2 linked regions of the Tribolium castaneum genome follow. The protein of the gene in region 1 interacts with the protein of each later gene in a biochemical or structural test. Links are inferred from orthologs where the notes say so. Each region holds a gene or a part of one and is shown in the gene's direction. Other genes may lie near its edges.

Region 1 (3,585 bases):
TTTTTAACACCGTCGGATCAGATGCCATTCAATTACCCCAAATTGTGGTCTTGGGATCACAAGTAAGTTAATTTTAATCAAGCTTCATTCCTGAATTGGTTTACATAACCTATCTTGCAGAGTTCGGGCAAGAGTTCAGTGATTGAAAGCTTAGTTGGAAAGTCGTTTTTACCAAGAGGAACAGGGATTGTTACAAGAGTACCCCTTATTTTACAATTAGTTTATTGTCCTAAGGATGATAGGGAGCACAGAGCTGCAATCGATGGTAAGTAAACTGCTGTGATTCGTTGATTCCAAACGTTAAAATTTGAAAAAATGTAGTTTTGTTTAGCTATTTGTTTGTCAAAATGTAAATTACTTGGGTACGTTATCATAAAAAGTAATCTAATGATTCACACTACTGAATATGAAAGGAATCCAAGTATGGATTTCGTGGCCACTTCTACTATTTGTTGACCCGTTTTAACTGTGCTCATGCTTATTTATTTCATGCTTGTATTATAACATTCTTAAAATTAAAATCCACATACGGATATTTTATTGCATATTTTTAAAGTAGTACACTATTTTACTGTGATTTTAAAATTAAATTGGCAATATTGACTATCAAATGACGTCACACTTTTGTGGCCAATTGTTATTAGTTTCAGAGCACATAGAAAGTCACCTAAAACAATCTAATACCACCAATAACACTAGCCTGCGATGGTTGAGTTTTTATTATTTTTCCAACATTCAGCTGAAGTCGGAACAAATAGTGAAAAAGCCCATCAGTACTTCTTTCAATTCACAATTGAGATTATGAAGGAAAAAACACAAACATAATATTACGTTAAAACGTAAAAAACCGGAGACTCATAAGTTCGAAAAAAAAACAATAAATTTACCACAAACAATGGTTTATTAAACGTTAAACTTAACCATTTTTTTTCAAGTCACATCAAAGTTTGTAATAGATTTTGTTTAAAAAAATGTATACTCAAGCAGTGATTTTATTCGATCATATGTAGTACATACAAAAAATAACTGTTCGAGAAAAAATCCTCGAGTGATAAGAAATCTTTTGAAATTAGAATTCAAAAAAAAAAATTAATCATTTTGCTATTATTATTTATTGTTTTCCTTATTTTTTTAATTAAAAGTTTTGATCTAATTTACCAGTACATTATTGTTTCTAGAAATCTGTCCTAATTATCAAAAATCTCTACATTCTCTTGAACAATTTCTCTTTAATTTATGGATGATAGTTACAAGCTATTGTATAAAATTTTGTCTTCAGAACAATAGGTGAGTCGGGCAACAGATTTCTAAAATGGAAACAAAAAACAACTGTTACGGAATTAGACTTTTTTTTTAAAGAAAAAAGTTTCTGTTTTATTTTATTCCTGAGTGATTTTATTATCAATTTTTTAATCTAAGTAGTAGAAGTGCACTTCAGACTATGAGTATGATAACAATAAATCAATCAATTAATGAATTAATGGTAATAATAATAGTGATACACAACAATACCAATACGGATTGACAAATATAATTGAAAATAATGAAAATATTTTCTTTTCATGAATGACAATTGTTTCAAAAGAATATTTCCTATCAAAAAATTGTGATTTTTGTCATTTCCGAACTATGTAAATTTTACGAAAAATTTCTTTTTACATTTTTTTAATGTTAAGAACCTTTTACCTTAAAACTAGCATATGTTGATCCAAATTTCCAGTTTATTAACTATGATAGAACGGTAAATTTAATTACATTTTAGTTACAATTAATTATATTTATATTTTATTTTGTAAACTAAATTATTAATTAATCATAACAGTAGTGTTTTTGCTTTTTATAGCACAATAAATTCTAATCACAATTTTGATAGAGCGTAAAGAGTTATGTTTTGTTTTTCGTTTTATTTTATTACTAAAATTCACTTGAAAAAAAAGCACAATATCGAAAAATACCGTTTGTATTGTGTTTAAAACACAATGACTTTTAGGGACAATGGATGTGGAAGAGTGGGGCGTTTTTCTACATTGCAAAAGCAAAATTTTCAAAGACTTTGAAGAAATCCGTCAGGAAATCGAGAACGAGACCAACAAAATTGCTGGAAGTAACAAAGGCATTTGTGCCGAACCCATCAATTTGAAAATTTACTCTACAAAGGTTGTGAATTTAACTTTAGTGGATTTACCGGGCATTACCAAGGTACCAGTCGGAGACCAGCCTCCAGACATTGAACAACAAATTCGCGAATTAGTCCTAAAATACATCGCTAATCCAAATTCAATAATATTAGCTGTAGTAACGGCAAACACAGACATGGCGACTTCCGAAAGCTTAGCAATCGCGAAAGATGTTGATCCTGATGGTCGCAGAACATTGGCTGTCGTTACGAAACTTGACTTAATGGACGCAGGTTTTTATTTTGCTTTTCTTAATGATAACATTACGAAAAAAAATTCTAGGTACTGACGCCATTGATATTCTTTGCGGCCGAGTTATTCCAGTAAAATTAGGCATAATCGGTGTCGTAAATCGCTCACAACAAGATATTATGAACAACAAATCGATAAAAGAGGCCTTAAAAGACGAAGCGACATTTTTACAAAGCAAATATCCCACTTTAGCCACTCGCAACGGTACTCCCTACCTTGCCAAAACCTTAAATAGGCTTTTAATGCACCACATTAGAGACTGTTTACCTGACTTGAAGGTAAGTCTTGTACAAATTAGCTTGATTTGGTAAAGTAACAAGCGTTTCAGACTCGCGTGAACTTAATGATGTCCCAGTTCCAATCACTGCTTAACTCATACGGCGAAGATATTTCCGATAAGAGCAAAACTTTGCTCCAGATTATCACAAAATTCGCCTCAGCTTACTGCTCCACAATTGAAGGCACTGCCCGAAACATTGAAACGACTGAATTGTGTGGAGGGGCGAGAATTTGCTACATTTTTCACGAGACTTTCGGGAGGACTTTAGACTCGATCCACCCCTTGGCCGGTTTGACAAAAATGGATATTTTAACCGCCATTCGGAATGCAAATGGGCCTCGACCTGCCCTTTTCGTCCCGGAAGTTTCCTTCGAATTACTAGTCAAGAGGCAAATCCGACGTCTTGAAGAACCATCACTGCGTTGCGTTGAATTAATCCACGAAGAAATGCAACGTATTATACAAGTAATTAATAACGTTTTCCCCAAAGTTGTGCTTCAGTGTCCGTTTTTAGCATTGTGGAAGCGAAGTGCAGCAAGAAATGCTGCGGTTTCCCAAACTGTACGAAAAAATCGTAGATGTTGTAACACAGTTATTGCGGAGACGTCTTCCGACGACCAACCAAATGGTGGAAAATTTAGTGCAAATCGAATTGGCGTATATTAATACCAAACATCCCGATTTTTATAAAGAAATAGCAATGGTGCCATCGATGATTAAATCCGGGGACGGATCTCGTCCAAATCGACCAAAGAGTATGCTAATCAAACACCATAATACAGTGGCGGAGACTTCCGAGTTGGTATGTTTTAATGTTTTGTAAATTTTTGCACAATTTTAGTTGTTTTCTATAGATTGCACGTGGTGCTGTAGAAG
Region 2 (2,901 bases), about 6.1 Mb from region 1:
CACTTCCAATAAGAGATTTGATATTTTCAATATACTTGAAAATATTTAAGTCGGTGTACATACATGTAACATGCAATATTTCTATATATTTTGTATATATTCTAAATTTTAGACTGTAGAAGAGTATTTATTAATTTTTTATTGTGTGATCGACTATACAGATAAGAAATATTGCATTCCAAGAGCTGAGTGATTGTGACCGTTTACGCCAATAGGATTTCTTTCCAACACGTTCCCAAACGTAACATTTCCCGTTTTTTTCTCAAGTGGTCTAGTGCTGAACACAATTGATGAACTAGTCATAGTTAAATTATTATACCTAGAAAGAGTGAATGTTTTTGTAATTTTTGTGTGTAAAAACAAAGTGCATTTTATATTGTAAATAAACATAGTGTTTTGTACATATGACTTTAACCTTAACTATCAATATTTACAATAAATAAACTATTTCAGATCTTTATTTGCGTTTTTTATTTCTTTTAGTCATATCTGGATGTCTTTATATCAATAAAGAGCAACGCAAGAATTTAGTTCAAATTAAGTTCAGTTCTATTGTGCAAGAAAAACTAATTTCTTTCAAACACATTACCCAAGCCATACCTAAGACTATAAAATTCTATAAATAATTTGAAATATGTACTTGTAATCATTAACTTTTGTTTTACGTGCAGCATTAAAAAGTTATAAACCAACGAATGGATGGAAACACTTAATTGTAAATGTCGTAACATAAATGACCTCGCCACATGAAAAAAACATGGTGTGAATCACTTTACATGAGTTTAGCATTTGGCTTAGCCGTGCTATAATAATCCTTCGCAATTAACTGAAGTGTTAATTAAATTAGCTAATTCATCTTAACGTCTGTTTGTGTAAGCACTTGGCACATCTGCAGAATCAATTCTATTGAATTTCGCCTTTTACTGCGAGCAGTTTTGTGTTTTTTTGCAGCCCTAACATTTTTTTAATAAATAATACTCATTTTTTAATTTGTTGATCGATAAAAATAAAGGTTTCAGTGTTTTTCAAATTGGAGAACTGCACCCTATATTTAGTTTAGCATCCGGTTGGAGAGATGACGCTTGAAGGGTTGTTTTCTGTTTATCCAAACCCAGTGAAAGAACTCAACTGTAGGGTTGTTTAATAATTAATAAGCTTGAAATAAAATCTTCAATTCAAAAAGAGTATTGTTGGTTGCGGGTTCGCGTTACAGTTTCCTGTCGTGACAGCTGTGAGTGTTGGGATCGCATTTAGAGGTCACTGAAGTATAAATATTGAAGTTTTCACGTTGTCATCAAATGCGATTTTCATTCGACATTCACTGTTTTTCTTGAGGAAAATCCGTAAGTGAGGGTGAACATGGCAGGAGTTTTGACTGAAACGGTGGAACCCAGCGACCTAAAGGTGAGCGCCTTCGGAACCGCACCAAGTGCGCCATTCGCTCTGTCAACTTATCAATGAGTCATAATTGTTAATAAACACAAGGATAATTGCAGAAATTCGAGAAAATTTACCACGAACAGCTGTACAAAAACGACGTAACGCCTAAAGCTCAGTTCGAATACGCTTGGTGTTTGGTCAGGAGCAAGTATCCTGCCGACATACAGAAAGGGATAATTCTGCTGGAGGACTTGTACAAGACACACGAAGAGGGCCAACGGGACTATCTGTATTATTTAGCAATTGGGACGGCGAGGTTGAAGGAGTACACCAAAGCTCTCAATTATGTTAGGTCATTTTTGTTAATTGAGCCAGGTTTGCACTTTGGAATGTTTATGTAAGGTTTGGAACTTGGCTGTTTTAGGTAATCAGCAAGTCATTAGTTTACAACAAACGATTAAGAAGAAAATGGAAAAAGAGGGCTTGGTGGGAATGGCTATGGCTGGGGGGGTTGTTCTTGCTGTGGGTGCCATAGTTGGCGTGGGAATGGCTATAGCTAGCAAAGTTAAGTCTTAGTGCTTCCCACATATCAAATGTGATAGTGTTACCATTTTTACTTGTACCAAATTGTATTTTTTGTGTTTGTTTCGTGATTACATGAGTCTGTGTTATCACTTGTTTTATTAATTGGCATTTAATTTTTGGTTCAAACTTGGATAAATTAAATGTAACACTCGAAAAGGCACACGCTATTTTTATAAGGACTTTTTCATTTCAAATTATTTGTGTATTTGTGTAATTTAAAACAAGAAGTCAATAGGTGAAGAATGTATATTTTGCTCATTACTTCTTGTGTAGACTGTCACCATTATGCAAGCTGTGAATAGGTTGTCATTGATTTTTTAAGTTTAGTTTAATTTCTTAGTCATAAATCACTGTATATTGCTAAATAAATAATAAAGTTTTATCTAAATATTGTGTTTTTCTAAAGAAAATCTAAAATATGCTGAAATTATCTTCACCACAATACACTTGTATATTTGGTTGCATAGCTGTCAAACCAAGCTTTGCATTGATTTGAAATATCTATACAAACACTTTTTATTACCATTTTGATCTTAAATCTGAATTGACCAAATGTCTATTTTTTTCATTTACAATCCTATGGTATACTTGCGTTTACTTACACCAATTATTTCGAATTCATCGTAACTTTTTACCTTATGGAGAACAGAAAAGGAAAAAACAGCTTCAACAAACTATTTGAGAAAAAAATTGTAACAAAAAATCGACCAATAAATCACCATGTTAAGTATGTAAGTACTCGTATACAGTTTAGAGCTAAAATATCCAAAACTATAATTTTTAAAAATTATTTTTTTCATGAGAAAAGTCGGAAATATGTCTCCTGTAAAATATGGATATTTTTCACTACAGCTATGTCACTAATTTATCTGAGTCAGTAGCCTGGATTTTTTAAATTTTTGAGATTTTTTGGCCACAAGGACAAGCACATTTTTA

What was found.
Region 2: the proteins of Drp1 (region 1) and Fis1 form a complex in vitro, tested with the Homo sapiens proteins (2 studies listed by BioGRID). The link is inferred for Tribolium castaneum from reciprocal best matches to the Homo sapiens genes DNM1L and FIS1.

What each region holds. Positions count from the first base shown.
Region 1 is NC_087398.1:8,848,580-8,852,164, reverse strand, and holds part of Drp1 (dynamin-1-like protein), read left to right. Parts: coding exon 1-62; intron 63-120; coding exon 121-265; intron 266-1,990; coding exon 1,991-2,410; intron 2,411-2,459; coding exon 2,460-2,707; intron 2,708-2,757; coding exon 2,758-3,174; intron 3,175-3,223; coding exon 3,224-3,511; intron 3,512-3,563; coding exon 3,564-3,585. UniProt on the Homo sapiens protein: Functions in mitochondrial and peroxisomal division.
Region 2 is NC_087398.1:2,702,457-2,705,357, reverse strand, and holds Fis1 (mitochondrial fission 1 protein), read left to right. Parts: upstream 1-1,230; 5' UTR 1,231-1,359; coding exon 1,360-1,404; intron 1,405-1,496; coding exon 1,497-1,755; intron 1,756-1,804; coding exon 1,805-1,956; 3' UTR 1,957-2,353; downstream 2,354-2,901. UniProt on the Homo sapiens protein: Involved in the fragmentation of the mitochondrial network and its perinuclear clustering. Plays a minor role in the recruitment and association of the fission mediator dynamin-related protein 1 (DNM1L) to the mitochondrial surface and mitochondrial fission.